Drosophila melanogaster: one gene and its partners. The protein of the gene in region 1 interacts with the protein of each later gene in a pairwise test. Each region holds a gene or a part of one and is shown in the gene's direction. Other genes may lie near its edges.

What was found.
Region 2: the proteins of spz4 (region 1) and CG3294 interact in a two-hybrid assay, tested with the Drosophila melanogaster proteins (one large-scale study listed by BioGRID).
Region 3: the proteins of spz4 (region 1) and Mfe2 interact in a two-hybrid assay, tested with the Drosophila melanogaster proteins (one large-scale study listed by BioGRID).

Annotation. Positions count from the first base shown.
Region 1 is NT_033779.5:11,499,100-11,512,106, forward strand, and holds spz4 (spatzle 4), read left to right. Parts: upstream 1-2,615; 5' UTR 2,616-3,023; coding exon 3,024-3,074; intron 3,075-6,996; coding exon 6,997-8,285; intron 8,286-8,344; coding exon 8,345-8,798; 3' UTR 8,799-9,550; downstream 9,551-13,007. Other genes in the region: Dlg5 (discs large 5), read right to left, coding at 10,201-10,304, 10,368-10,584, 10,636-10,865, 10,925-11,163, 11,222-11,441, 11,497-11,751, 12,080-12,445, 12,510-13,007.
Region 2 is NT_033779.5:4,789,751-4,799,129, forward strand, and holds CG3294 (uncharacterized protein), read left to right. Parts: upstream 1-4,907; 5' UTR 4,908-4,921; coding exon 4,922-4,935; intron 4,936-5,002; coding exon 5,003-5,821; intron 5,822-6,092; coding exon 6,093-6,196; coding exon of another isoform or gene 6,197-6,204; exon of another isoform or gene 6,205-6,225; intron 6,226-6,312; coding exon 6,313-6,469; intron 6,470-6,536; coding exon 6,537-6,813; 3' UTR 6,814-6,831; downstream 6,832-9,379. Other genes in the region: fipi (factor of interpulse interval), read right to left, coding at 3,888-3,930; slf (schlaff), read right to left, coding at 7,326-7,888.
Region 3 is NC_004354.4:16,265,772-16,276,241, forward strand, and holds Mfe2 (peroxisomal multifunctional enzyme type 2), read left to right. Parts: upstream 1-5,179; 5' UTR 5,180-5,325; intron 5,326-5,632; exon of another isoform or gene 5,633-5,669; 5' UTR 5,670-5,748; coding exon 5,749-6,457; intron 6,458-6,753; coding exon 6,754-7,841; 3' UTR 7,842-8,044; downstream 8,045-10,470. Other genes in the region: CG12507 (uncharacterized protein), read right to left, coding at 1-56, 257-723; kat80 (katanin 80), read right to left, coding at 1,710-1,944, 2,004-2,078, 2,143-2,232, 2,301-2,434, 2,503-3,570, 4,208-4,343, 4,468-4,809, 8,513-8,730 and 2 more. UniProt on the Drosophila melanogaster protein: Bifunctional enzyme acting on the peroxisomal beta-oxidation pathway for fatty acids.

The DNA of each region.
Region 1 (13,007 bases):
AAGCTTACTCTGGAATGGTTGCGATAAAGTCACATATGAGAAAAGTAGTGTTAAAAATTCAATCATGAAGTCTGACAGAAGCTGACCAATATGAAACTCGCCTAACGTCTTTTCAAACATTTAGCTATATGATTTTTGTTTTAAAATATATTTTAATTGTTAAATTTAAATATATATATTTACATTAAATCTATACATCTTTAAAACTCAGGGCTGCACAAAGTACAATTTTTTTACATGGCATTAAAAGTTTTAATTGTTATATAATTTAAAGAATCAGTCCCTTAAAATACAATGCCATTAAATGAAAGTTAATTGTTAGGGAACAATGAAGCTATTTAGTACAATTTAAGTAACGATGAAAGGTTGCTAAGAAACGCGATTTCTTTTTCCCTATGAATAAGATTGAAATAGCTATATTAATGGATTAGATTATAACATTCGAATCATTCATTCATTGGTCTTATAGTTTCGATACGCACTTTACTTTCCTGGCCCAGACCTCCGATTAAAGCGCTCAACTGGAGTGAAGTGAACCTGCTTCTCAGGCGCAACCGCAGCCACAGTTATTATTTTTGCACTTTCACTTGCTCTGACCCAAATATCGATGGCACTTAGCTGATACGATTCCTTTATTTCGGGTGTCACTCACACAAAATGATATGATTTAGCATGGGCTATATCATAGATATTTTAACTTAACCGTAAGATACAACATTATTGCAAACTTAGGCACTTTTCTTATGAATGCTGTGGAGCCAGCCGCTTTTGCACAATATTTCGCAATAGCAATTATTTGGCAATTGTTTGGGGGAAAACCAGTTTTTTTTTTGCGGTCAGAAAAGGGAGCGGAAAAAGGCAGGAAAATCCATCAGCGACCACCCACTCCACTGCTGGACCTTAGCTACATCCGCCAAGCAATCCGCACCGCCCCACCACCCACCGCACCACCTGGTGGCGCAACTCTTACTCAATGGGAGTTTTCGTGGCCAATAAAAAACGGACGATGAGGAGCGGTTACAATATTGTTCGTGCGGCGTCTCGTGGGCGGAGCTGACGGGCGGGAGAGACATAGAGGTGGATAGTGGGCGGTGGGCAGACTAGGGGGGCGGGCGAGGACATAATAAACACACAACGATAATTAAACCGCGGTTAGACTGGACAGCAGACCGCTTTCAACAGTTTTTTGTTTTGCTGTCAGCGGAGGTGGTTTAAACAGTATCGAAAGTTGCTATGCACCGCCTTATAGATACTAAAATTAGTAATTAAATGCATTTACATAGTATAGTATAAATTTATATCACTATAAAATAATTTAAAAAAAAAACAAACAAATAAAATAAAAATATGTATATAAAATGAAAAAAACATTAACGTAAGAAAATATAACATATATATATATTGTTCGATGGCTTATGGTATTTATTTATATTTATTTATTACATTACACAGTCAGCCCTCGCTAAGTGCAGTTCCCGCAATCAAGTCCCGAAGATGCGCGCCAAAACAAGCTCTCTGTTCTCGACGAGGCGTCTAATCCTCGCCAGCAGCAACAGCAGCAGCAACAACACTTGCAACACCAGCGGCCGCAAATGAATCAAAACAAAGCCCAGGCAACAACAAATGCTCGGGTCCACCACTGACCTACTAAGACGCACTCTCCGCTTCGGAACATTGGAACGGTGGAGCATTGGAGCGGTGGAGGCACCACGAGAACCGAAGACTGTCTTCCGAAGACTCCTCGTTGCGTGTGGCGCTTTTTCTTGTCGATGTACTCCCGTGTTTTTAATTTTTTTTTTTTTTAGTTTTTTTTTTGCGCTGGGTCGTTTTTCAGCGTTTGTCGACGAATAATAAATAAGAAAAAGTTTTCCTGCAAAAGCAAACCAAAAGGCAAAAACAAAAACAAAAGCAAGCCGCACAGTAAAAATAAGAAGCGTTTTCGCTGCTCAATCGCAACGTTGCTCTCTCACTTCGTCACTCGATTTTCTCTCCACTCGGAAGAAAAATGGAAGTAACAGCTAAAATAGTTAGTATTAGCTTTGTAGGACTTTAATTTTAAGTAACTTTAGTTTCATTAAGTTAAGTTCTCTAGATTCTTATTACTTTCCAAAAAGTCTCTTAATCTCTTCTATTTCAGGGAATCCATCAAAATGTATGTTTAAAACTGATTTTTTTTGGCTTTTGAGATTATAAGTTAATCAAATATTATATTCAAATTTAGTTGAATAGTGCTTATACTTGTGTTGTTCTTATAATGAAAAATTAATGCACATTAAATTCAATTTCTAAAACAAAAATAGAATCAATAACAAAGGTGTTGAGCGCATTATGCTCAATATACGTTAAATAAGAAAACATATATTTATTATTTAATAATGTATAGTTGTTAAAAAAAAGTTGGTATCCAGAGATTGACAAAGTGCACAGTTTCGCAACTCTAGATTTACAACATGTAGTTCAAGAATTTGAATGTTTTGCGTATGGGTGCGCTTAACTTCCATAGAAGCACCACCAATTTCTTGCAGTGCATTGGAGCTGGGTGCGCGGCGGTGGAAGAGAAAGAGAGAGGCCGACGGTTTGCCGTGGGACTTGGGATTGATCAGCCGCTGGTGGCGTCGCAGTTGCAAACGTGAGTTCGAGGCGTGTGAACGTGATTTCAGGCTTTTCGTCGGCTCTCCTCGATTTCCTCGATTTCGGCGCAGTGGGAAAAGCGCCCGGTCCAAAGAAAACAATAAAAAAAAAAAACCAAACAAAAACGAAAAAAAAAACAGAAGCGGGACCCCTGAGGTCGCGGAAACTGCAGACGATTTGCGATTGTATTGAAATATGGACTTTGCCACTAATTTTCATTGCCCTGCGAGTGTGTGTGAGCGTGCGAGTGTGAAATCTGCGTGAAACATTGCCAAATCCTTTGACAGATTTCTATTTGCGCCTATTTTGCATTCGGCAGTCGGCATCTGCCATTTGCCATTGCCATTTGCCATTTACCATCGACGCGAGTGTCAATCGAGTGAAAGTAAACAATGGTGCGCACCCAAATGGATAGGCGATCGCCGATCACTAGACTAATAACGGTAAGTGGGGATCGCCCAAGGCGGTCGTCTTGCATAAGAAAGTGTCAAAAATTAAACAATTGCAACAGCGAAAGAAACAACAGCGAAGCTCGAGATGGTAAATACAGGCCACAATGTAAACATATTGATGTTATACAAGCAATGCAAAGTGTTCAAAGCCCCAAAAATACTTAAATATTCAATATGCTTTGAAATTAAAATAAAAAAAAAAATGAAATTTTACCAGTTCTTATTATTAACAAAAGAAAACAGTGACTATTGTGTATTGTGTTGCAATTTTTGCCGTTTTACAACTTTGAACCAATGTATAAAATTGTGTTATGACTTTCATTGGTATGTCACATTTCGTTTACTGAAGTAACCAAAATATTCATATCTAAACCAATAAAATCTCCTTTTAATTGACCAAAAATCAATTAATCAATCGACTGGGCATATTTCGTTATTGGTGTCCCCTTGGGCCACAAGCCATTGATGAAAATGAAATCGCAATTAAAAGATGGTCACGCGTCCCCGTCATTTTTTCTCAAAATGTGTTGAAATCGATAAACGTTTGGGCTAAGCGTTTTATGCATATTAACAACTTCTGCCCCTTGTCCGCGAGTGGGTTTTGTTTTCTTTTAACGCATGACTACGCAATCATAAAAGCATAACCAACAACGAAAATGCTCAAAGTTTCCGCTGTGTTTGCTCTACTGGCTGGCATTGCCGGTCCCAAGCAAAGGAGTGTAAAAGAGACAGAAAGAGAGAGAGAGAGAGAAGCGGAATAAAATAAAAAGTTTCACTTTCTTCGAGAGCAATGCGGCTAACTTGGGATCGACTAGTTGGATTTGGCCCAAGCCAAAAGTCGAGACCAAAACTCAAACCGAAAGCGAATCGGTTGCCCAAAAACAAAAATATCGACTTGCCAAAATTGGGAAACGAAGTTCGCGGCCTTTTCCGGCGGTGTCCAATCAGTGAAATTTTTGCGCTTAATTTTACATTTCGCCATGAATATGCACTATTCCTCGAAAGGGGAAGGGAAGTGAGGAGCTTGCAGCACGTCAAAGTCAAGTTTGTTGCCTGAGTCTTTTGTTTCGGCTGGCCTGCAACCTCGTCGAGTTTGTCGCCTGAGTCTTTTGTTTTGATGGGGAAAATTTCACCACTCGCCAGCTGCCAGCTGCTCGCCTGGCAATTAGCAGAAACAGCAGCGGTCAGGCCAAATTTGGTTAAGTGTAACATCAACTTCATTTCCAGAGCCAATTGAATTTATAAATAATTCATTCTAGCCACTCGCCAAGAGAGTCGGGCGGACGGACTGCTGGCGGGCAACATTGTATTTGTATTTGGGAAATGAAGACATAGACTGGAACGTCTCCTCCTCGCGGCCAACCCCCTCCCCCCTCCGCCCGCCTTCCTGCCCACCGTGCGGACTGGGTTTTCGTAGAAAGTCGCTGACACATTAAAGTGTTGCAATACGTTTCTCTGACGACAGCTTCGGCATCGTCTAAGATTGACAAATGTCTTCCTCGATGCGAGTTGACTTAATGCCCATTTGCACTGCACCGCAGCATCGGCACTGCGTCGCCGCATTCAGTTCTGCCACAAGAAGAGCAACTAAAAGTAGCGAGCCAACACAAATGGCTACCAGTAGTAATACAGTTTCTAAGAAGAATATTTAATTATATTTTCTTGAGCATAGAAAACTAAAGAGAACTAATTCAAAATTGGCTAGACTAAAGAAATTAATTTTTTCTTAATTAATTTACTTTCTTGAATTATGTTTTCGAGCTGTGTGAAATCGAATGAGACCAGCTCGATTCAAGACATTCTGCCAGCACAGACTGGCGCAGTTGCAAGCTCTCACGGCTGATTGGACATATTGATTTGTTTCGCCGACTTTGGACACTGACAGCAGTATTTGCTCCAGTTTCGCCGTGGCTTCTGCGCTTCCAAGAATTATGACAATGTTAATGAACGAGATTCGGCTTAATTGTCCCGATGCACATGACAATCGGCACTAATGCCAGGCTGCCTTATTTACTTTTAGCCGAACAAAGCGAAAGTAATTCTGCTTTCCATTTCAGGCGTCTTCGCCTCTTGCGGTCTGACCTGATTTGATTTTCAACACAAATTAGTTCGCGTAGAGCCATTTGTTTCGCACCCAAGTTGCGGTCTCATCCTCGGGTTTCCGAATCAGAGCTCAGATCACTTTCTTCTCGTAATTGCCATGGTCTGGGTGCCGTGGAGCACTTGATTGTAGTACTTTTCCCAATTGGGAGAAAAGGGTGTTAGCGCTAGCAGGAATTCCACCTTGTCATTGATATTTAAATTTCTTTCGGGTACATGATGTGTGAGAATAATTATAATTTGCTTGAAAGAAACGGAGAAGACTTTCAACTTTTTTCTAGCTATGATTGCTGGAAATTATTGTTTTGATAGCTTCCATTTGTAGAAAAATACTCAAAAGTAATATCTATATTAAATTCAAATCTGAATGGAATGGATAACTTTAGAAAAGGTATTCGAAAATTGGCTGGAAAATATTACGAAATATCATATGCATTGACCTTGCTTACGTATGCTAATGATGCTGGAATTTTCCCGAAACGAAACACAGATCAATAATCACTATTACCTAACCGCATGGCAAATCGTGTTGAGCTCACATTTTGGACACACATCCGCCAAGGGAGCCGATCACTTTCTTTTCTTTTCGTGATTCACCCGCGATCGATATGTGCTCGCCATATATGAGATATATGTACATATAAACGGGGTGCATATGATTTTTGGCCAACCGGTTTGGTTGTCAAAGAAAGAGCCAAGATTGCGAGTCCAAGAGACCCTATTAGGACCGACTTGCAGACCAATGTTCCCGGCTTTTGGGCGGCAATTGTGCAACCGAAAAGGAAAGTTGAAAGGGCTCCAGGGCGCGGGAGGTGGGGCGGGAAATGCGATGACTTTTCCAGCGAGCGCGGCGCAATTTACTTTTACTTGGGTAACCCATTTCGCTTTTGATTGCTCTTTGCATTTCACTTCGCCGGCTGCCAGTGGCCGGTGTTGTCCAGTTGCAAGTTGTCCGCCGCCAGCTGCCGGTTGTTGGTCAGCCATTCGAGTGGTGCGGTGCGTTGTGGTGCGGGGGGTGGAGGGTACGGCAGGGTGATGTGGCTACGACGGCGGTTAGTCTGGCGTGGTGGTATCCATGCAGTAAGAAAAACTTGTTGGTATCAGATATTGATCAAAGAAAAAGAAGTCTTTAAATTATACTATTATAACTTCTCTTTTATTTACAAATATATATATGTAATTTTAAGCCATAATATACTCCTATATAATTTAATTAAATTTTAAAAGAAAGTGTTAAAACTTTGTCTCTGTGCAATGATTGCTGAAATTGCGGCCATTCTCTCTGGCGTTGCTTTTTTGAAGGTGGGATGCAAATGCACATCGATCATCTTTATGACTTGTGATTGTCCAGTTGGCTTTGCGTGAAAGTAAAATTTGATTTTCTACCGGCTCTGGCCATTCGTTTTAGCCGAGTGAGAGCCGCCCGGCCAATTCAGTCTGTCCTCTGGTCCAGGTGCATTGAGCCCACTTGCCTGCACAATATATGCTGCTACAAAAACTGAAGTTTTAGCGTCACGCCATTTGCTTATCAGCCAGCGATTGTGGTTTCAATTAAGATTTCCTCTGCTCAGCTGGAGCTGCTGAGTACTTCCATTAGCTGGATGGGTCATTTGGCCAATCAATCCGTATGGGATAAAAAGCCTTTCGAAAACCAGGAAATGTGTAAAGTAACAAACAGTTTATATACAAGAAGTGAAACGTACATGCATTTTCATTCGAAGTAAAAGATTAGTTTAATAAAACATTTTATTATGGAAAGTTTAAAATGGGACAATAAACCAATTGACTATATTTCCCATATATTTTCTTGCAGATCGAGGTTATCGGGTATTTGCTGATCCTAATGACGATTGCTCTACCACTTTCTTCCGCCGGATTTGGCTTCGACTCGGCCAACTCGTGCAGTCCCAATGGGAAGATATCGCGACGTGGTAGGGCCCAGATCCTGGCTGCGATTCCCTGCGACCTGGGTCAGCAGGCGTTCTGCCACCTGCCAGGATCCGCTTATCCATGGCACGCTGTACGACGATTCGTGCACGAGAACCAGGGTCTGATGAAGCGCATGTACGGCGATGTAAGGCACATTTCCATCCTGCGGGATGAGATCCAGAACAACGAGGTGGATGCGGACGACATTGAGGAGACGGCGGAGCGATATAGCAAGGATGGCGGACGGCGGAGTGCCAAGTATCTGATGAACAACAGAGATCGCGATCGTGAGCGTGAAGATTTCGGAAGCTTCAAGAGCAACGATGTGCTAATGGAGCCGCACTTTCGACCTGTCTCCACGATTACCACAAGTACGACTAAGGCTACGACGACTACAACCACTGCTCCGGAAATAGTTAGTAGCACCACGGAACGAGTTCCAAATGAGGTTACCGACACAACGCCTGGAAATACCAATAGTACGATAAGTACTACTAAAGGAACTGCGCCACCTTTACACGAAAAACCCGAATCGGAAACAGACATTGTGGAGATCCAGCCCAGTCCAGAATCGAACAGCGTCTACGAAGTGGTGTCCCCTTCCGTTCTTTCAACCACGTCCACTGCCAAACCTTCGTCCGCAGCTGGTGAAAATATACAGATCATTGACTCACCACAGTTGGGGCTTCGTAATCTAAGCGCAGAGGCAAGTCCATCACAAGAACCACCCACAGCCACAACTGGGAAGCCCACATCTGTGCCCAAGAGCACGACACCTTTACCCATCAGGAAAAGGAAACCGGCAGAGACGACCACCAGTGCAGCCAGTCCAAAAGTCTCGAGTACCATTTCGACACCAACCACAACAACAGCAACTTTGCTGATACGTCGCAATGTAACCAAGTACTCACCCGCATCCGTGACCACGCCCGTCAGCTTCGCCTCGCTCTTCTCCGGCACCTCCAGCGGGCTTTTTAGTCCGGAGAGGTTGCGCAGACCCTTGACCACGACGAGCAGTACAAGTGCTCCAGCTTCATCCCCTCCGGCGGGTGGAACTCCAGCGAGCAGCTCTACCGGAAGCGCCAGCAAGTCTGGACTGCTAAGGGAGGGTCAGCTGTTTCAGGATGCCATGAAGCAAGAGCCCGTAGCTGTGGCCAGCAACTTGCGTGGAGTGTAAGTATATGACCCATTTGCTTATCAAATTATATAATACAATATTGATCTCTCTGCAGAAATGCCTGTCCCGTGAAGGATGAAGTGGTGGCTCCCTTTTGGGCAAACAATACCCGCGGCGAGGTCTTAGCCCTCCTCAATCTCTATCCCTTCGAGCAGTACGTCCACTGGGAGAAGTGCACCCACGAGTTCAAGCAAATGTTCTGCCGCGATGGATGCAGATGTGAACAGCAGTACCGCCTCCACAGATTGTTGGCCTACGATCCGCATAACGAGTGCCGCGGGATATTCTCCGACTGGTTCCGATTCCCGTCCAGCTGCATATGCAAGTGCTACAATATACCAATGGAGTTCCGCGCAACATCACGTAGTCCACGGTCCGACAGTCGCTTCGATGCTCCAAAATCCGATCCCATCGAGGCTGCCGAGGCGGAGGTCCAACGGGCCATTTACGAACATGCCACGGAAGAGTGGTATCGCCCACGTGATGAGTTCGATTTCTTGGAGGACTAATCCCATTAGATTCCCTCCTGTGAACAATTGTACAGTAGTATTAGGTTTTATAGAATTAAGCTATAATTTCCAATTAGTCCTTACAATACACATTTAAGAAACTTCAACCGATCAAGTTAATAACTTTCGATCATTCTTCGATCATATTTCACACAGACCTTCAATCTCACTTTAAACCTATAAGTAATCAATAATTATAAATTAAATCATAAAAGCGGCGTTATGTTAATGTAAATATAGTCCAACATAATGCCCGATTTACGGAAAAACTGCAGAGCGAATGTACCTTGAAATACTTACGAACGCATTGCGGCCATTGAGCTGCGTACGATGGTATTTACTAGAGTTATGTATTTATTTATTCAAATGATAGCTATAAGGATAACCATAAACGTGGCCATAACATAAACCCCAAATCTTTTGATGGACCCCTAAACGAAAGCATAGGCGTTCTGGAAAAATATTTATTGCAAAAATGTAGTCTGTATATTTAGAATGCTTATGTATAAAATAGATTTTATTGTATTTAATACGTTGATATATTACTGTTGTTTACTCTTTATGTACACAAGTGTACGATGATAAATTAGATTTATAAATTGTATTTATTTTGTAGAAAAGGTTTTCTGTTTTTTTTTTTAAGCAATTTGAAGGCATTTAAGGCACTTCATTTCAGTTTAACCATTTACCACTTAAGGCTAGTGATAGCATTTTGTCTATCACACATTTAAATAAAATTTCTAGTGTTGCTTAGCTAGTCGCGTTTTTAATTTCGTAGTCGGGCAAAGGCAGTTGCCAGAATTAGATAAGTTTTAAGTAAAGCTTGATTTTGAAGCGGTTCACGAAGGTAATTGGATAGTCGAAACTATTTAATATACACAGTTGAAAAGTTGAAGGCTTTAAAGCCACGCTCTATTGCCATCGAGTTTATCGAATCGTTTGGGTAAATAATAAAAAAATATAAGATGCCTTTACTTACAATTACATAATAATAAATTGCATACAAACAGACTTTTGGCTTAGAATGTCGCCAGAGAAGGAAATCTAGTTCCAAACGGTATATATAAATTAGATATATAAATTGTGGAAGCATTTTCCATTTTTGTGATTAAAGCTGACCATATTTTGCCGTCAGAGCGGTCGGACTAACCGCAAATAAAGAGTAAGTCTATAGACATTAATTAGGTGACAGAGACAAGAAACAGGTAGAAATACCGCGCCCTAACTTCCAAGTTGCAAGTTGACGCCAATCGAATACTCTGCGTTGAACAAAACAAATACAAATATGATACTATTGATGCGCATTGAAAATACTAATCGTGAGTGTCGCGTTGTGTGCTAATAACTAAAACTAGGATGCTCCAATGTCCAAACTGTCCGTCCAGGCGGCAATCCGATCGGATCAGCCACTCGATACGGGCACCCAAAGTAGCTTGTCCTGCTCCTTGTCGACGGCATCCTTAATTTGGGTGCACATGTGCTTGATACTGACGCCGGGGATTACGGCTGCAGGTAAATGAGAAAGCAATTATTCACATTGAATTGTGATTAATTAAAATAAAGTTATACCTGATATGTATTGCTTATAGTCGGTCTCGAGCTTCATGGCCCGCTCGTACATCTCCTTGGCCGCCTTGGCTGAGATTTTGTCGGTGCCAAAGTCGCGAATATCTCGGATTTGTTTGGCAGACTTAAAGCGCAGCAGGAGGACAATTGGATAGATTTGTAGGCGCTGCAGACGCTCCACGGCGGAAATGGAAACGTCAAGGATGCAGTGGCGTCGATCCTGTAAGGGATATTTAATGAAGATGTCTGAAAATTTCTGGAGTTTACCTACATTTTTGCAGGCATTGCTAATCGCCTCAACGGTGGTGCATTCAAACTTGTTGCCCCTCCGCCGATAATCCACAAAGATGTTTTCTTTTAGACCCTCCTCCATGGCCTCCTGCGAACAGTCCATGGCCGTCACCTCGCACAGTTTGAAGAGGTTGGAGAAGTCAATTGTAAGGCGAACCATCAGACACTCGGACAACGGTCCGATAATCAGCACGGGCCGGCGAATGGGTGCTAAAAGATTGTGTTTACATTAACTTACTTCTTTTAGTTTTCATAAAAAATGTACGTACAATCTAAAAGCTCTACACGCTGGTAGCTAAGGGCTCCACCATCATCGTTGAGCAGACCTAAGTCTGGAAAGAAGCTAAGCTGTGTGTTGCTGAAACTGGCAATCTCCGTGGAGTCGCGGGACGAGCTGCGCTGGTTTTTCTTGCGACGAAAAAATGATCTTCTGGCCGAAGTGCTGCCGCGTCTGGCCGTTCCCGTATCACAGTCGACCACCTCACCCGAACGCAGTTCCTCCTCCACCCTGCAATTATATATAAATATGTGCAACTAATTCAAACTTAAGTAATTTGCCAACGTACTTCATTTGACTGGGTATTATGCCGCACTCCTTCCGATGGCCCATGGCATCCAGCTTCCAGGCTCGCCACAAGCCAAAGGTGCCATTAAAAACCGTATTGTCCACGTAGAGCACCTCGTCCTTAACAAAGCGCAAATCGTCCTCGTTCAACTCACCAGTCCGGTCAAACCCCACGCGAATATAAAAGGAGTCGCCAGGCTCGTCTTTAATTTGCTTTAGGGCTGTAGGGAATACATTATATCATAATCATAATCAACGAAAGAATTCACCACTTACTGTGTAACTTATTCTGTACCAACATGGTGACCGTATCCGTAAGCTTTGAAATCTCATTGGCCGCCTGCTCAGCGGTGACTCCGCTCAAATCTACACCATTGTATTCCAGTATTTGATCGCCTTTGCGAATTCCAGCATGATCAGAAGGCGATCCCACCGCGACGTCATGCACATATATGCCAACTTTATTGCCCCCAAATAGCTTGATGCCCAGGTTCTTTGACTTGTCCATGTGCAGAGTCACATACCTTAGAGCTGGAATTGAAAGTCCAAGTCATATCATGTGCAAAATACGAAAGATTGACGGCTTTGTTAGTAGGGAAGAAGCTGCGATACATAATGTGTTTGTGAAACTAACGCTCATACACTTCCGTTTTAGAATTTACAGATTTTGGGAGTTAAAATATTTCGAGCCATTTTATCTAAAATCCTTGTTCTTTACGGCCCTGAGAATATGTACCTGATACAGCCGGAAACTCTTCCTGCTGCACGGTTACCTTCTCCGTCGAAGGCACGAATTATGGGGAAATGCTACTATCCCGGGAGTGTGGTTAGTAGTGGGTGTAGAGTGGTGGCTACGTACTCTCTGCTGGAACGGATGCAGGTGGCGGCGGCAAGGATGGCTTAGGTTCCTCATCATACACCGTTGACGTGGCTGAGGCAGTCGTTGTGGTGGTGGTGGCCGCCGATGAAGGCATGTCCTGGCTGCTGCTGATATCCGACTGGTTCTCAAGGCTATCGGTGAAGCTCTGGTCCTTAATCGACTGATGCGACAGCGGAGCCCTTGAGCCGGGTCTCGTTGAAGGAGCCTGCGGCTGCATCGGCAACGGGAAAAGCGAGTTGCGGGCAGGAGGACGGGGAGAGTTGCGCGGAGTCGGGGAGCCCGAATGATTGATGGGAGATTCTGGTTCCAAATTGTGCGCTCCCTCGTACTCAATTGAAGGGAACTCTGCAAAAAAAGTAAACAGCACAATTAGAATGGGATGAGTATACGGACTGACCGATAAACTTACTCTCCGGATTGTACTGAACGAGCATTGTAAAGGAGTCGCCGCACTGCCGCAGCACATTGGCAGCAATCTCCTGCGTGGCCGCCCGCATGTTAATGCCACATACTTCCAAGAGTTGATCGCCCACCTGGAGACCGGCACGCATCGCCGTGCTTTTGTCAGCGACGGTTGACACAAATATTCCGCCGCCGTTGTTGTTGCACTGAATGGTGATACCTAGCGACTTGTCGCGCTTGTCGATGGTGACTCTTCTAAGGTCTCCGGGGCAGAGAAAATCCGCAGGCACATTGGAGTTGCGCTTGCCACTTCCGCCGCCTCCATGGCTAAGGACTTCCACATGGACCTGCGGCATGGGCGAACCGCGGCCACTTCCTCCTCCACCGCCTCCTCCAACTCCTATGCTCGATCCAGTTCCATTTCCTCCTGCAATATTTGCACCGTAACTGTTGTGAATACTAGAGCTCATCAGTGACATAGGTGCACGATCTGAAGACGAGGCTG
Region 2 (9,379 bases), 6.7 Mb from region 1:
TATGTCTACTTTTTACCACTCTAAAACTAAATAGATTACGAGTAATGTATGGCTTGCTGTCGACATTTATACCCTTTGTCACATAAAAACAAAGTTATTTTATTTTTGAACTGTATTTTTAACATGAAATGCACTTTAGTTAAAGCAGAAAAATCGCACACGTTCCCAATTAACTTCAATTCACCGCCCAGCGAAACCATGTTGAAAAAACATCGATTTTGAATCAGATCCAACACATTTCGGGTGTTAACAAATTGAGTTCGGTTTGTGACCCCCGGGCAAACTGGCTATTGTAATTATTCACGCCGCGATTCGCGGTAAAAGAGATATATTCATGTATATACATGAATGTATGTGGAAAATTGGGGGAAAACGCGATGTCAGTGGCACAGTGAAATGCAGGACTCGACGCCACCTGACAGCCACTCTACGTGGAGTGCTTGTCGGATTTTAAAAATAATAACAAAACGAAAACTTATGGCTTACAGAAAGAGAGAGAGAGAGAGAGAGAGAGTGACACAAAAAAAAGACGGCCAAAATCATGCATGCAAAGTGAAGGCGAAACCAGGAAAATGGGCACGTCACGTGGCAGTGGGTGGGAAAGATGGCCAGGATGACAGGACACTTTTGCCAGTGTCAGTTAAATGGAACACCCGATCCACGAGCCACACACACAACAATGGCCAGCTCCAATGGCTTCTCGTCCGACTTCCCGCTGAGCTCTAGGCTCTGGACTCCCCAAAACTTAAATGGTGTCAAGGCTGATGAGTTTGTATCGCCACACCACCCATCTACACACACACACACACACACACACACGGAAAACGAAATTCGGAAAACTTCAGCAAAAGTCAAAGTTCGGATGCCCGGCAAAAGTTGAACAAATTCAATAGATAACAATGAAGTGAAAGCAAGTGAGTTGAGACCGTTTTGTGGCTGCGGATGATGGAGAGGGCCACTGGAAGAAATCAGGGGCACTTAAGCCTAAAAATCTGTTAATAATCGAGTGTCTACATAGTGCTGGTATATTTATAACTGAATAAATATGGGTCACACATATAAGATTTTTAAAAGGAAAAAAGGTTGATAAGAGACAGAGAAATATCAACTTACAGTGAAGTATGTTATGAATAATTATTCTGCTTACCGATCGAAATAAAGGTAATCCTTATAGATTTCAAACAGGAGATACATTTTTTTTCCTGTGCATCGCATCTGCCTCCCCGAACTCCAACACAGTCATCACCCTTTTTCACGACCCGTTGACAGCGCAAATATGCAAAGTCAAGTGGCAATTTATCATGCTATGCAGTGAAACCGCCCTCCAGGCAGCGCGAGAGTTAAAGGTGGCGGCCCAAACCGCCGCGTGGGGCACTCTGGGGTTAAGTGGCAAACTAAATTGAATCGCCAGCGACGAACCATGCGTGGGCATGTATCTACGCCTACAACTAACAACCCGCGGCCCCAACAAACCCCTCGTCACACTGAAACTGCACATTGGATTTGGAGTGATTTACATGCTGATTTATACACTAGCTAGGTTTTTTTGGTAAAAAGAAATAACTGCGAATTTAAAATAAGTTGCTTCAATTCTGCATTCCAATTTTTGCACTTTCCTGAAAGAACCATATAATTCAATATGAGCTCAGTTAATATTAAATAATTATCTAATTGTTATAAATTCACCGGCATTATCTAGAGCAGGTCCAGTGTCCATAGCTCTGTTTACGGTTCGCTTTGCATTTAAATCGATGCGACGCTGACCTTTCCCTCAATTAAAAGTGCACACCCACCCGGCGATGAGGGCGCACAGTGGCGGTCGAAAGTAATGGGACACTCTTTCACTGGGGGCGTTGCTGTCGACACTTTACCTCATTAGCAGCATCAGCAGCATCGGCCGCTTGTATAATTAATGATTGCGCCCCCTGCCGCAGGCTTCGTATTGATTTTAATTTGTGGAATTTACTGGGTAAATATGATAAATTCGAGATGTACAGAGGGCTTTACTGCGCGAGATGGGACAGCAGCACTTAGCAAAGTAATTAACCAGCCCGATTTGGCAACGACTGCCGCCTGCCAGCTGCCAGCTTGGTCATCCTCAAAGCCAGTTGGTCAGATCGAGCCAGTTGGTCACTTGACAATACGTAACCCAAACCCATGCAACCCCCAAACGGCAGGCGGAAGTGCCCGAGGCAACCGCAAAACAACTCGACTCCATCTACCGACCTCAGGCGTCTCCGGAAATTCACCCTGCCGTTGACAAGCCTCAAGAGAGATCCAACCAAAGACACTCGTCCCAGTCAGTAAGTGACCGCAGCAACAGAAACAGCAACTAAAGGGGGGGGGGGGGGGTTCGCACTGGGAATATGGCGATGTGTCGGTTTCTGGGACGGCGAATGCAACGGAAGGATGCGATGGGCTGCGATGACACTGGCGGCGAAAGGCGGAGTAATATGCGTAATTAAACAAAACCGCAAGTGGGCCAGAGCAACAGCAATAAACGGAATGGGGCGCAAAAAGGATTCAGTTACCAGGGATAAAAGCAAGTGCAGCTGCAGTGTATCCACTCGAAGAATGGTCAAAGTGAAGGGTATATAAACAAGGCGAAGTTGGGAGTCCCTAACTAAGGACATGCACTTGCCCATTATAAAAAAACGTTGCTTACAAAAATGCGAAGTTTATTCATATAAATAGATTTGTTGAGCAAATGAAAATTACATTAATCATTTATGCTTTGCTGAAATAAATAAAACCATTGTTGCCACTTTACTGCGCGACAAGAGGCGACAGCAAATGTTGATACCCTTCGGCGAGAGATGACAGCAGGCTTAAATTAAATATTTGCAAGGACGCAGGACGAAGTGAGCAGAGTGCGGGCCAAAAGGACGAAAGAAATCAAAGAGCAGCGAGCAACGAGAAGCCCAAAAACGCAGCGCCACATAAATGTGGGGCATGCAGATTGAAGTGTCGTCCGGAGACGAGGACCATGGCAAACGGGAAAACGGGAAAATGGTTCCATGGAAAATCAGAGGCATGTGGCAGGCCATGGAAAATGCCATTCAAGTGCGACTTAACACCCCTCAGACAGCTTTTAGGCAGTGAAAATTGATCGAAAGACTAAGAGCAAACATCGTTGACTGACAGCGACTTCAAAAAATCCAACAGAAAGCAGTGAGAACAGCGCAAAAGGGCTGCAAAGCGGCAAGATACTTTCCCAGTATCTTCGAGATACTTCAGCGAAATGTGCAACAATGTGCCAGCATCGATTTTCTATTAGCCACGAGACACTTGAGCCACAAAACTAAATACAGAGGGCAAATATTGATAAATACGTAACGACACGACGACGACGAGGAAGACGGAAAACCACAACAACCACATTATGAATACTACTAAAGCTCGTAACTGTCCATCGACCAGACAAGAACATAATAAACACCGTTCATGGGTCCGAAAATAAAACGCAGAACGTAACTCGGAAGAGGTCGCCACATCCTCATCCCCATCCACATCCCCTCCAGAACTCGATGACCACCTCAGCCAATGTAACACTAGAGCAACAAATGCGGTCAAATCGTTTATTATTGAAAATTAAATGCCCCTTTTAGGCGTACAGAAAAAAATTGTAAGTAAAGAACATATTGTTTTAATTTGCGATATATGTTCTTCTTTCTTTAAGTTTATATTTAAGTTATTTAATTGCATTTCAATAAGTGATGGTTACAAAAATCTACTATTACAACTAATATAGCATCTATGGATTGATAGCATCAAATCCAAAAATATTGTTTTCTAAATATCCCTTAATTGCTAGCTTTAGAATCAGGCTATTTTATGTATTTAGATAACATTTGTTTTCTTTTTCTCCCAGTGTAAGAACCACTTACCTGTTAGGGCTGCCAAATTCAGAATAAATCCAATTAGCCGCATTGCGAGAATCTCAACGAATATGAATTTGAATTCCTGTGGTTACTACACAAAAAACCGTGAATATGCTTGCGACCTGATTACGAGTTCAAAGTGCCAGCGGCGCGAATTATTTCATTTATCTAATATCAAGTTGTGCCGCGAGAATTCACATCAATTGTTTTGACTTAGTTTCGCACAACTCAGTTGGTTTTCCGTGAGCCAAGCTCGGCGATTCGGCGCTTGAGCCGGAGTCCAAATTCCGGACTTCGGATTTCGGAGCCGAGCGCAAAAGGAGAGCTCAGAGAGAAAGCCAGGAGAAAGGCTTTCTCTGGCGACACGAAGTGTAGGTGAACCGACGCGCACGAATTTTACTTTATCACTGAATTTGATTTTTTTTCGCATCTTCGGCAATCGCCGGACACAATGTTGCTGGCAACATTGTTGCAGAGGGGAATTTTCGAGTTCGAAAGTTTCTGGTTCGATGGAAGGGGGAATTGAGAAAAAGCTTGAATAAACGGTTCAATTCAAAATATACAAATCTGATAAACAAGAAAATATTCAAACTAAGCGCTTCTATTAAATTTTAAAAGCTCTTCGACACAGTGCTATAAAAATCACATAACATAATTTATAGCAGTGTAAGTTGAACTGAGGCTTTTGGCATTGTGCTATACAGCAATGTTATTTTACATTTTATAGCAAGAACGAAACTTGGTGTTATATTAGACTGTTATAATTTATAATAAATTTTGAATTACAAAAATCGTAAGAATTCGTAAATTTTAAACATTTATGATATGAAATCTTAATTTTGAGGGAAAACTTACAAAACATTTTTGATTTGCCAGATTTATGAAAACTTTGAAAAATATGTAAATGTAAAAATGTAATTTTTTTCGTGCTGCAGTATTTTGTGGTATTTTTCATAGACCCTGTACACGGTATTAATCAGCTGTGTTCTCACAAATGCGTTTCAGCTGCTCACCGAAATTCAATGTTTTGATTTTGCGAAATGCCGGGAAGGAAGTAAATAACTATAAATTTGTTTAAATATAATGTATAATTTAATTTAATGTATATAATTTATACAAAGGGCACGGCGAAAGTTAATCAAGAAGCAGCAGAGGAAGCGGCGTCGTCAAAAACATGCCAAAGAACGTGATAAACTGGAGGAAGAGGCGGAAAACCAAAGACTTATGCAGCCGGAGTACCAGAAATGGTCGCAGGAACAGGAGGAAATGCAGGAATTCCAACGACTAGCCGACGAACGGGAGCGCCAGTTGGCGGAGGAGTCCTGGCTGCGACGCGAAGCCACAGCGCAGCGACAATTCCAAATGGACGAGGCGAAGAAGCGTCAGGAGCAGGAGGAAGTGGAGCGTTTGCAGCGGGAACAGGCGAAAGAGCGGGCGGAACGGGAGGAGAGACAGCGGAAGCAGCGCGAGGAAGAGACACGAAAAGCCGCCAAGGCTGCCGCCGAATTCGATGCCATGATGGAGAGCATGGATGAGTATCTGAACAACCCGCGTATCGAGAAGCCACCCAGCCACCTTCTGCGTGTAATGGAGACGCATCCGGAGGAACGAGCCTGCGAGTTCTTTAGCCGCACCAACTGTTGCCGCTACGGTCACGCCTGCACCTTCAACCATCGCCGCCCGATGCTGGGAAGGATCCTTCTCATCCGGCACTTCTTCAACCATTCCATGCTGCAGAAGCGATGCACGCACAAGGAGTACGCCTCGGCGGAGGAACACCTGGAATTGACCGAACAGGATCTGCGCCACGACTACGATGAGTTCTTCAACGATGTCGTCGAAGAACTGAGAAAGTTCGGCACCATTGTCAACTTCCGCACGGTGCGCAATACGCTGGAACACCTCAGGGGTCACGTCTTTGTGGAGTACACAAACGAACGGTTTGTCTGAGAGTATTAATTATCATTATTATTATTTAATTAATATGACATTGTTTATATGCAAGCAATTCGGATATTCAAATGCAGCCTATTTCCCAGCATTTTCATGTAAAAGTTAATTCATATAATTCACAATTTTAATTTATACCTGTTCTCTCGCCAAAAAATATATATATTGTATTGTCTCTGCGCTTGCATACTTTTATGTTATGTTAATAATGTCTAAAGAGGTCATAAACTAATTATTATAAAGCGTACGTCATGATTTCAGATCTGCACTTCGCGCATTTACCAATCTCCAAGGTCGCTACTACGCCTCCAAGCGACTAAACGTGGAGTTCTCCAATCTGAGGACCTGGCGCGGCGCAGTCTGCGGTACGTGAACTGCATGCCAAGAGGAAGCCGTATCCTTTAAAAAACCAAAACTCAAAGCAAGCCCATTCATATGTTTTAATACCATTTTCTTTAACACAATCTGTGACTTCTTAAAGGTTTGTCCTTAACACGTAAATGTCCCAAAGGTAACGACTGCGGCTATCTGCACCTGTTTGGCAATCCGAACAACCTGTTCAACACGGAACTGGAGTACACCAGCGGTCCACGCAGTGAACGACGCTCCAGCCAAACTCCAACGGCCAAGACACCCAGGTGGATTTAAATATAATATTAGTTTATATTCCGGCAAACTATTTAAATACTTTCCCTATCTCTTCAGTTGGGATGAGCACAGCGAGCACGGCAGGAACTGGCGCTGGTCGGCAAGCCCCGAGGTTGAACTGGAAAACTCCAAGGACTTGGGCAACCGAGGTCGGGATCTCAAAAACAACCAACAGCGGAATCATCATTCCAGGTCAAGAAGTGACCGGAGTTCCGTGCGCTCTAAAAGAGAGCACAGCTCCTCGGGATCTTCACATGACGATCGCAGATCAAAGAGGCATCATCATCATCACAACTCCACAACACCCGATCATCAGCACAACCATTGCCAATAAAAACCAAAGTATTAATTCAAGTGTTTTCTTTTTTATGGGATCTTTACAAAATTTTATTCAATCTCTTTGTGGACAAAACATGAGTGTCTCAAACAAAATACTAAAGAGATTCCGAATTTCTTGCTTGAATGACAGACAGTGGGTCAGAGCGAAACACTTGCAATTTAGGATTGCCTATAAATATTTAAGGTGCGATCTGAAAACGACTCAACTGTTTACAACGGAATAGAATTCTACGCGTAAAATTGGCAGTTTCGAAGGTAGGGAGGAAGGAGAAGTGAGACTAAGTGCTGGGTGCTAAGGTGTGATGAAAGCAGTATTGTGGATTTGGTGGGTGGGTGGTTTTGTGGTGTTTGTAGGATCGGAAATTGTAAATTCTAAAGTCTATTTGTCTTGCTTTCTTCCGTTTTCGTCGTACACATACAAACAAAAATTATACAAAAACTCGTTTAAGGAATATTATAATAAGTAGCTTTAAAATTAGGCAAACAGCGAACGCCCAGCGAGCCGCTCTATAGACGGATGCCGGGATTCGTGGCCGCCACATAGCGCAGCAGCTCCTCGTTGTCCTCACAGATGACGGGCTTCTCGTGGTAGCAGGCCACGTCGTGCCAGGCGATGCCATCGTTGTACACGTTGTTCAACACGGACAGGCACTGCTCCTTGGTCTGGTTGATGTCGTATTCGGCGTTGTCCGGCTGCGGGCGCTTCTTGTGGCCAGTCTGCGACCATGGGTTGTAGCCCCAGCCCTGTGGGATGCGGTTGGTGGCCTGGATCTTCTCGCGGGTTGCGGACCAGAACCATCCATAGACGGTCTTGGGCTCCAAATCTGGACGATTCTCGCAGCCAGCAAAGTCACAGATACGTCCGGCCGTCCAGATGTACGGCACATCGTTCTGCTGGATCACGCGGAAGATCAGATTGTTCTTCTCCTGAGTCTCCAGGGCGACCAGATCCATGCAGTACTCGCGGCACAGATTGCGACCATCCAACCAATCGACCTTCTTGTTGGCCAGCGCGGGCACGTGGGTGGTTAGGAACATGTTTTTGCCGCGGTAGGAGAACTCCTTGGGACCTGCGGGTCAGCGAGGAGAAAGTCGGTTAGCGGAAACTGTTTTCATGCTTGCACTGAGAAAATAGTAGGGGTATGTTATGGCTTTCCAAAATATATAAAAAATAATTTAACTATTGAATAATAGTAGACCTTTGAACTTTAAGATTCAAACTTAGATGCATTTTTCCTTTGCTTCCGAATTAACTAATTTTTTTCCCGTGTGGGTGTGGCATGTGGCAACCGGTTTTCCGCGCCGCTGCAGCCTCATCTTCATCTCCATCTCCATCTGAAGTCGGAGGCCCAGTGCAATATCTCACAGCCTGCCCCATCATGGGCAAACGAAACCGAAAGCGAGTAGCGCCGAAAATCAAGAGATACTATATATACCAATGTGGATGCCAGTGGATGAAGCTGCCCCGGGCCTTACACAACTTCCCCGGTGGCGGCGTGTTACGCAATCCGCGCAATTTATGCAGCATGCTTCTTTTTGCGCCTGCCGCCGACGCCGCCGCTTTCCTTTTGTCTTGGGTGTCAAAAGGTTTTCAGCTTCCCCGCGTATATATTTGCTTTTTAGCTTATTTTTTTTTTCGAGGAAACAATGGGATCCCCCGCCTGACAACTCCATCCTCGAACTTGTTTCGCCTGAGCAAGCTGCCAACTGCCAGCTACCAACTACCAACTGCCAGCTACCATTTGATTAGCTGCCTCTTTGGAAGTCTTCGCAATGTGCGATATGTCCGCCCCTCGGACGCGCCCAAAAAAAAAAAAAAAAAAAACTGAGTAAAGATATACCCGCCTGTTGCCACAGTTGGCACGCGTCATTAGCCCCGCTTTAGGCCACTTTTGCAACTGCCCCCCTGCCACGCCTCTTCGCAGGCGGGCAACGCTAAGCGTCAAATCAGCTTAAGTCCAACACATAATAGCCTTATTGGCCATTGTTTGCACATTATTATTTATTTTGCTGCCGCTTCGGCTGCCACTTGCCATTTCCTCACATTTCTGGCCCTTTTTGTGCGCGGGTCAAGGCGATAATGTGGCTAAAACTCATCTTGACTGTATGTATATATACATATATGTATATATATTTTCCTAACCCGAAACTTGCGTAATAATCCGGGTGTCGATGCCGTTTTTTTTTTTTTTTTCGATTGGCATCTTTCAACAGTGAGTTAGAAAAACCGAAACGTTTTCGAATCTTAATTATCGGGCGAATGCACGCCTGAGAGAGTTGTCTACAAAAAGGTAATTAAGTGGAATTATTAATCAGGTGATTTAACTATTGGAAGGCAGACCTAAAAAACCTGCGCTTGTATAACTGGAATTTTCTAAGAGATGAAAGATCTAAGTCGCTGCCAACGGCACTGGCTTCAAAAAACTGGATATGCAACTCCGGTGACGCCCCAAAAATTAAGTTGCATGTTTAACGGCTTTGGCTAAGTCTCAATGTGTGCATGTATGTATGTGTTAGCAATACGTTAGTGTGTGCGCCGGTGTGAGTTAGGGCTTGTCTAA
Region 3 (10,470 bases), on another chromosome or scaffold:
GCATGTACATGTCCTCAAAGTACTGTGGATAGTTCCTATGGTACTGCTCATCATATCTGCAAAAATTTAATAGTTTAATAATAGTAAAGACAATAATAGAGAAGAGCAGAATTTCATATTCAGTTAAGATTAATTTCATAATCATTTTTTTCCAATATTCATTTTTTTGTTAAACTAATTATCAGATTCTGAGAAAAAACTGTCCAGATGAACTATCTTCTTGCGATAGTTTCGGTTTACTTGAACACACACTCACCTGTCGTAGCGGCGAATATAGGGATCGTAGGACCTGGACGGGTACATCGGGGGAGCACTGGCCAGCAGTTTGCCGGAATAATCGCCATACCAGGGCAGTGGTTTGTGGGCGACACCACTGACTGGCCTGTTTAGCGAAGCCAAATTGCCTTCGCCATGAATCTTAATGGCGGACGAGGCACTCAGATCATTATCGGCCCCATAGGGATCTGCCATTCGTCGAGATCCCAGATAGTAATCGTAGTCCTTGTAACCCAATGGCGGCTTCTGGTAATTCATCTGCTTTGGCTGCGTAGGATCCAGGACGCCCATGCCCATGCCCATAGTATCCACCACGCTGCTGTCCTTCGCCTCCATATCCAAACTACGGTCAGGATCCTCGAAACTGGGATTCGCCGCAATGCAGTTGGCCAGCAGCAGTGGCATCAGACATCGCATCCACATATGGATTACTCTATTCTCGGACATCGTGCAGAAGTACAGCCGATGCGCTCGGAGTGCCAGGTCGAAGTGCTCCACTAATCGCTGCAAAACTCTATTGAAAGGTTGGGCATTAAACGCTACAATGATTCGGCGACATGGTAAGTTGAACTTCAAAGCCGTTTGTTCTGGCTGCTTTGTTGGTCATTCTATTGGAGCAGTGAACCGCAATACTCGCAGTACATTCCCCGATTTCACCGCTTGCACAAAAATAAGCATAATAATATAAACAATATAGAACTTCTCTGATTGCACTACTCTGTGTGCTAAATGCATGTAAAGCCATTAGTTTAGTTGCAATCTAACAAAAACAGATAAATCAGCTACCTTTTAACAATCTAATTTTATTCATTTCTTTCTTTCACCAACATACCTTTACCATACACATATATGTACATTTGCTTTAGATCGCCATGAACTTTTTTAGATTAGTCGTAAACTCTGAAAAGTGTACTTACCTAAAAGAATATTTGATCGCAAATAGTTTATAGAATTCACGTATGTTTTCTTTTATATATTTTCAAATTTTGGGACTTAGGTATAGGTAAATAATTATTATATAAATTAGTTTGCATAACAAATTAATATTACAAATCATTAAATAACTAAGGCCCATTTTTCAATCATCATGGTCTGCTGAAATTAGCTTGTGTCGAAAGAAATCATACGTAACTTTCTTAGTTCACAAGTTGACTTCATCGCAACATGACGATGAATAGATGGCCGAAAGGTTAATGTTAATGTTGGATAAACAGCGTTCGGAAGAGCTCGTCTTAGAGCTGCTGTTCCGGAAACGATTGTTTAAAATTCCTTAGTTTGGCAGCTTAGAGCGACAAATGAGGCCACTCCCCAGGACACTGGATTTCGTAATCAGGCTTTGGGAAGCTGGTGGTTTTCTTTTGTTGACGATCTTTGTACCGTTCAAGAGCTGATTTGAACGCCGAGGAGCATCTACAGCTGGATATGCGTTGCCCTTAGAAAATAATTATGTTTTGTAATTGTGACAGCGTGGACCCAAAGTGTGTGCTCTCGGGCAGGTTCTTGATTTGCAACAACCACCGCTGGCACTCGGCGCACTTCCTCTGTCGATCCTCGCGTGTCACATCGACGCCCAGGCCATTGGCGGCCCAGGAATCGAGGTTCTCCTGTATAGTTGGCAAGAAGTTCGACAATATAATACGCAGGGTATCACAGGCTCTCGTAAAGTGGCTAAAATACAGATTGGGATTACTTGGGCTACCTTTTCGTTTATGTTTATCCATACTTACAACTTGTGTTGGCTTTGCAAGAGTTCGTAAATCTCTGGCAGCACAAACATGCAGAAGTCCAAGTTCCACGAGGACCTGTTATGGGATTAAACTCCTATTGTTATCGCTGTCGCTTTAATATTTATAATATTATGCTTACGGTTTCTCCAGTATGGCTCCGAGTAGATCTATGAAAATGGATTTGCCACAGCTCCTTGCCTGCCTTAATGCGCCCAGCACATCGTGAGACCTACATGATTACCAATGGATGTGTCAATCGATCGAATGTTTCAAATAGACCGTTTAACCAATACTTACCTTGTTGCGTGCCGCAGCAAATCCAGGCTAGACTGACGATTGCTCAGCTCCTGCAGCACAGCCTCGTGTGATCTCGAGAGCATATCGAAGTCGTGATCATCCATTATAATGCGATTGTTCATTGGCTGCTGCTGCTGGAATAATTAATTAATTAATTAATTAATTAAATAAAGGGCACCAAGCGAAGTTTTTAAGCACTCACGTGAATTTGCTTTTCCTGAGTTTTAGCCTGGTGCGACGTACGCATATCCAGGGTGGTGCGGGATCGCATCGGTGGCTTTGTGATGATCTCCACATTGATATTTTTCTGTTGATTGTTCTCCTTGCTGAACTGACTCTGGGCCGAGCCCATTGGCCGCTTGTTCTTGTTGACGACATTCGAGGAGGAGGACTTTTTCAGTACCATGTTGTCGTCCAGCTTGTGCAGTTCCATGGAGCTGACCGAGGAGACCTGGCTTAGCTTGCTGCCACCAAAGATGCCCGTGGACGTCTGCTTCGCGCCGGCCATGTTGTTCGTTGTCCTCTTGTGCAGGGTGGTGGTAGTGGTCTTCTTGATCGACTTGGACGAGGCGTTGATCGTGGAGGTTGCGGGCACTGGCTTATAGTTATTGGTAATGTAGTTCAGGTTCTGATTGACCGGAAAGTCCTCGGCCATTTCGTAGTTATCATAGTTGTTGAGTATTGGCGGATTGCTATCGTTCAGATTGAACTCCAACTGCTGCACATCCGCCTCCTCGTTCTTGTCCAGCGGATATAGATTGTAAATGTCCGGCTTGTGCAGTGAACTGGGTTCGTTCAAGGACATCAGGCGGGTATCGATGGCCCCGTAACTACTGCCATAGCTGGCCATATTATCAGGCACTCTGGAGTACTTACCCTGCCTTAGGGCAGAATCGATTGCTCCGCCATATACGACATGATGCGGCGCCAAGTCCGCCGACGATCCGGCCATCGAAGCCAAGTGGACAGGTGGCAACGAGGACATTGGAGAAGTCTCCGCCGACTCCAGCACCGCCTCGTTCACAACCTCCAGACTATAGTTGGGCGAGGACAATCCACTCTTGTCGCCCTCGTGCTCCTCCTGCACCTGTGCCGGCTTGGCACCGCCAACTGACAGCCTGAACTTCTGGTTGCCACGTGTAAAGCTCTTTCGGTTCGTCGAGTTGTGCTTAAAGTTGGGTAGTGAGTTTGGCGGCTGATAGAATGGTATCACTCGATCCAGACTGATGGTGTTGATTGAAACGGTGTCGATCTCATGACAACCACAGATCTACAAAAGGAAGTGCAATGGTTTTTATTGGATATTCCATTTGTAGACATTTTACATTTAAGATCTAAGATTGGTTTTTCAAAAAGTGAAAAACCTAGATTTCCTAAATTTGAATGCGAATTGATTCGGAAACTCAACAAGTTATGACATTCCATATTTGTGCCATTATTTTTAATGTTTTGCTCAAAATACCGATTATTTTTTTCGCATAAAATCAGTGAAACCAGTTTTGGCATAAAATGCAATATTTAAGATTGGTTTTCTGGGTATAACTTGACTAAAAATGGCCACACCGCCAAAAGAAATACCGTTTTGTGCTCCTAATTACCAATACTAACCACCCCTTTCACTTTTGGACGGATTTTGTAAAATTAGTTTTTGGCCAATTTTTCGCCTTTTTTATAATCAAAATTTTATCATCAAAATTTGCAAAAAATTTAAAAAACCTAGAATTCCCAAATTTGAATGCAAATCGATTTGGATTAAAAAAACAAACTCAACGAGGTATGACACTCCATATTTGGACCATTTTTTAGAATATTCTGACCAAAATACTGATTATTTTTGTCAAAAAAGATAACGGGGATGACGAGATTTGGAAGGGTGCTTCGCTTAATGAGTAAGTGCTTTCACTTACCAACTTATTGTTGACCACTTTCATGTCCGCCAAGGAGGACCAGGTGCTTTTTATATGGTCCAGCTCACGATCCGGTTCCCATCCAATTACCGAAATGCCCGAAGAACTGCCAACAAAAAGGCACTCGCCATTGTCACTGAAATAAATAAAGTTTAACATGCAGATAATTAGAATTTATGCACTTTTTGGCAAAATTACTATATTACTATTTCTTTTCATAAATCAATTCACGATTGCGGATTATTCTTTGCAGGACTCACCTAAAGGTTATACACCTGATGGCCTGGCCATAGAAGTGCGTGGTCTGCGAGACGAGCTGCTGGTGTTCCAGATCGTAAATGGAAACGGTGCCATCGACGCGACCGGCGGCCAGCAGGAACTCAAACGGATGGAATTGCACGCATGTGATAGCCGTAACCGGCGGATCGGCTATGAACTCCATTATCTGTTTGCTCTTCCGTATGTCCCAGATGAGTATGGAACCCTCCAGGCCAGCAGAGGCAATCCAAAGACCATCCGGCGAGAATTTTACGGAATTCACGTGGGACATGTGGCCGCGACATACCTTAATGCAGTTGTTTTCGTTCTGCACGTCCCAAAGCCTGAGATTGCAGACATATGAAAGTTAATAGTTTGCTAAATAAGCAACAAAGCATATGTAATTCATAAAGTTTCAATAATATATGTAATCTCCTAGTTAATTCATTTATTGTTGCTCAATTTATTGTTGTTTTATACATTTCTATGTTAAATAAAGAGACATAGTTGAATTTGAAATGTGGAAGATAAGTGTAATTTCCATAATTGTTCATTTTTAAATTTAATCGTCTGGAAAATGAAAACGGGTTGGAGTCTTTGCTACGGCTTAGCGAAGTTCCGAACCGAGGTTTACGTCCGCGATGCACTGCTTTCCAGCATTTTGACGGCACTACTTTCTAGTGCTCACAAACGTATGAATGCGGGCAGTATATTTTAGTGCATTTTCATGGGTTGAACCGATTAAACGATTGCAAAATTATCTCGGCAGCGAATAGTGATGCACTTTGTACCACTGATACTGGGTTAATCTGTGCATATTCGGGCATACCATACCATCATACGGCGAATCTACGAGAACTGTAAGTTAACCCTTGTTTAATGTGTGTGTGTGTGGGCCATTTCACGCGGTTCGAATAACTGTGCTGTCGTCACTGTGCAAATGTATCTTGTATCTCGGATTTCGGCGATTTCGGTGCCATCCGAAAAGCACTTGACTATGAACCGTGAACCCCTGGACTTGGACCATATCGCCTGGGTAACGTTCTTCAGCCGAAGAGTCCAGAGTTACACTCACATATGCGAGGGCAGGGCAGATAGCATTATCGCTTGAGATTAAGTACGATTGAAAAGTAGTGCTACTCTCCTTTCTTGTTCGATTATTAGCCAACCAGTTTATTTTCATCGGTTCATTCGTGTTTTACAGCCGAAAAAGCGTTGCCGCAGAGACCGGATTTGTGCAGCGAAACCAGAAATTGCGATTGCTATTGACCAATAGACAGACCATGTCCTCATCCGATGGAAAACTTCGTTACGATGGCCGTGTGGCGGTGGTGACGGGAGCTGGTGCCGGTTTGGGCCGCGAGTACGCACTGCTCTTCGCGGAGCGTGGCGCCAAGGTGGTGGTCAACGATCTGGGTGGCACCCACTCCGGCGATGGAGCATCGCAGCGGGCCGCCGACATTGTGGTGGATGAGATCCGTAAGGCCGGCGGCGAGGCGGTGGCCGACTACAACTCGGTAATCGATGGGGCAAAGGTCATCGAGACGGCCATCAAAGCTTTCGGACGCGTCGATATCCTGGTCAACAATGCCGGCATTCTACGCGACAGGAGTCTGGTGAAGACCAGCGAACAGGACTGGAATCTGGTCAACGATGTCCATCTGAAGGGCAGCTTTAAGTGCACCCAGGCGGCATTCCCGTACATGAAGAAGCAGAACTATGGCCGCATCATCATGACATCGTCCAACTCGGGCATCTATGGTAATTTCGGGCAGGTCAACTACACTGCCGCCAAGATGGGCCTCATCGGATTGGCCAACACGGTTGCCATCGAGGGAGCCCGCAACAATGTTCTTTGCAACGTCATCGTGCCAACTGCCGCCAGTCGAATGACCGAGGGCATTCTGCCCGACATTCTCTTCAACGAGCTGAAGCCCAAGCTGATTGCTCCCGTAGTGGCCTACTTGTGCCACGAGTCCTGCGAGGATAATGGTAAGTGGGATCCGAAGTTATGCGAGAATTGCATTATCTCAGAATTGATTATCATATCAATTTGTATCAATTTAACCCTTTGAGAACTACAAAATTATGCAATTTTTGGCCAACCACTGCTAAGTCATCTTTAATATGTCCAGTAGTCCAATCCAAATGGTCAACATAATCTGCCTGATTAGGGAAATTCATACTGATAGCGTTTGAACTTAGACCGTTTATCAGGAATATGTGTACATGTGTGTATATATAGGGTTTATTAAACGTTTTCTCTCTCCCTCTTCTCCGATCCACAGGTAGCTATATCGAGAGTGCCGCCGGCTGGGCCACCAAGCTGCACATGGTTCGCGGCAAGGGCGCTGTGCTGCGTCCTTCGCTGGACGACCCCGTGACCATTGAGTACGTCAAGGATGTGTGGTCGAATGTGACCGACATGTCCAAGGCCAAGCACTTGGGTGCCATCGCAGAGGCCTCCGGCACCCTGCTGGAAGTGCTTGAGAAGCTCAAGGAAGGCGGCGGCGACGCCATCGAGGATGCCTTCGAGTTCAATAGCAAAGAGCTTATTACCTACGCCCTGGGCATTGGGGCATCCGTCAAAAACGCGAAGGACATGCGCTTCCTGTACGAAAACGATGCCGATTTCGCCGCCATTCCAACTTTCTTCGTTCTGCCCGGCCTTCTGCTGCAAATGTCCACCGACAAGCTGCTCAGCAAGGCTTTGCCCAACAGCCAAGTGGACTTCAGCAACATTCTGCACGGCGAACAGTACCTAGAGATCGTTGACGATCTGCCCACCAGTGGCACTTTGCTGACCAACGGCAAGGTCTTCGATGTTATGGACAAGGGATCCGGCGCCGTGGTCGTCACCAATAGCGAGTCGTTCGACGAAAGTGGCCGCCTGTTGGTGCGCAACCAGAGCACCACTTTCATTGTCGGCGCTGGCAAATTCGGAGGCAAGAAGGATCCCATCGCTGGTGTAGTTCCGCTGCAGCCGGCGCCCAATCGCCAACCGGACGCAACCGTCCAGTATACGACCAGCGAGGACCAGGCGGCGCTGTACCGTCTGTCCGGCGACAAGAACCCCCTGCATATCGATCCCCAGATGGCCCTGCTGGCCGGCTTCAAGACACCCATCCTCCATGGACTCTGCACACTGGGCTTCTCGGTGCGCGCCGTGCTCGCTCAGTTTGCGGACAACAACCCGGCTCTGTTCAAGGCTGTCAAAGTGCGCTTCTCCGGACCCGTAATTCCGGGCCAGACTTTGCGCGTGGACTTGTGGAAGCAGGGCACACGCATCAACTTCCGCACCGTGGTCGTGGAGACCGGCAAGGAGGTCATATCCGGCGCCTATGTCGACCTGAAGAGCTCACAGGCCAAGCTGTAAGCGCGGATCACCTAGAGACACATAGTCTGCCTTAGTCGCAATGGATTATCATTGACTTTATAATTCGTTTCGCGTCCGTTTTTTTTTGTACATACACTATAACAAATATGCCTATACATATGCAATTGTTTAAACGCCCGTGGTGGTAGAAGTATTTTTTTGTAACACTTTTATAAAACTCCCAATAAAACATCACATAACTGAAAATGCAATGTTGTTTAAGATCATGGATGTAATAGATCTGAGAGATAAGATATATGAGATCCCAAAAGAAATATCAACTTTAGCTAAACAACACAAAGTGATATTATCTTTGTCAGCCTGTCCCCTTTTGTGCAATGTAGTGAGTCATATTATCTTTGTTTTACACATATATAGGTCAAGTGATATCTAAGAAAAGACCATATAGATACAATGCATCTAATATGTATGTGCATTAAACCGATATAAAATTTCTAATTTCTAAATATGAGATTTTTCTTTTGTGTAGATTATTAAACCCAAAATACGCGATTCTATAGGATTAAGCACAGCTAAAAGAGGGAGGGAGAATATCGCCATCCCTTTTCAATCAACGAATAAACTTTAAATCTGCCACTTGATAAGGAAACTAGAGCTTCCGAATGACTCATGGGTTACTCTGACTATTTATATATCGGTCCTTGGCTCACCTGACGGTGGTATCATTGCTCCCGGACACCACATATTCTCCAGACGGGTTAAAGTCCAGAGTGCGAACACTCTTCATGTGGCCATTTAGCGTGGAGTAGATTTTCTGTGAATTCAGATCCCATCTTCGGATTATACCGATGTCGTCGGCGGAGTAGACAAAGTTATCCTTATAAGCAAAACGCACGCAATCGATGGAACGATTGTGGCCCGTCAGAGACTGAAAGGAAAGGGTCACCGATTAGTACATACATATATTTAGGAAGTAGTTAGTATATTCACCATAAAGCACTCATTTTGACCAATCGCCCAGAGGTTCACATTGCGATCCTCTCCTCCGGTGACCAGCACTCGTCCAGTTTCGCCAAGATCAAGGCTCGTGACCCTGCTATCATGTGCCTTTATATCGTCTGCAAAGGATGAGAATTGGTTAGTCCTCTTCGGCAAGTTTTCATGATATGATGATATAGTTAGTATGTTCAGATTAAGCTATGCTTTAAACAACAGCTTTTCAAGATCAAAAGGAAAACTTACAACAAATATATAATAATAAAAATATGATATTTTCGTATTAGTATATACTCAATAAATACAATTTTATAATGATTTTTGAATCTTTTCAAAGGAAACTGTGTCGATATAAATAAATAAGTACCTTTTACGTTATCCACATTTATGAATGACAAGGATTACTAGTATTTTGAAAAGCAAAACAGATAAAATAAAGCTAGGAAATCGATGTACATACATACATATGTACAGTATATATGTACATACATATGTACGTAAATGTACGCATTTCAAAGAAATTGAAAACTTGTTCCCAGATTAAAACCTTTTTGAACTTCTATAGTTCTTGGGATTGAATTGAAGTTTTCTAAAGGCTATATACAAATATTATTTTAAAGTCTGAAGAAGCCGTATGATGTTTATTTGATATTGATATTGCGTTGTAAAACAAGATATTAATTACTTTAAAACGAACAATTCAGCTGCAGCTGCACTCAATGTTCATATGTATCTACATACATACATATGTGCACCTGGGGATTTTCCTATTGGATATCTGCATTGTTTATAAGAACGCGTGGTATTGTTTTAAAAGTTACTGAAGTTGCATGCAACACTAGAATTTACGATAGGATTTCAAACACGCACGCACACACACATATATACATGCAGTCGTATTTCTACGTGCTTGTGTGTGTGTGGGAATATACAACGGTACTTTCGAACATTCGGTTTACTTACAGATCTTGGATATCAGTTTTCTGGGCAGCGCCATAATCAATCAAATTGTTCTTATATAAATACGCTGGCAGCTGCTAAATTCGATCCGAATGCCAGGTTTTCGAATAAATATTATCTTTTTGTAGCAGGTGTGAGCCAAAGTCTGTGATCAGCTGTCTGGGCTCCCGTCTTTTTTGGGCAAAATGAAGCCCACTTATTTACGAAACGAACAACAAAACGCACTGAAACAAAATCACACGGTGTGTAAAACCTTTACGAACCGATATCACCGTGATCGCATTGTTTAAAAACAGATAATCTAAATGTTTAATCGGACAATTCTTATTAACAAAAACAAATGCACATCACATTGTAATTACAGCGACGACGAGGGCTGCAGCAAGCTGTCGATGAACACCGATTACCAGGGCCGGCATAGCGATTGCATTTTGTACATTTAAGTAACAGTCGTTGGTTATAATTATTAATACATATATATATATATATATTGAAAATAATTTGTATTATAAATTTGTATTATTAAATAACAATAATAACAGATAATGTGAAAAAAAATTAATTGATATTTTACTAAATTATTTACAGCCCTGAAGCTGTAAAACGGTTTACAAAAGTATTAAATTAAATATTTAAATAGACTAAATGGAATAGAATATTAAATAGACTGAAGTAACAAGAATTGAATTGATTCTGATACATGATTTCAGCA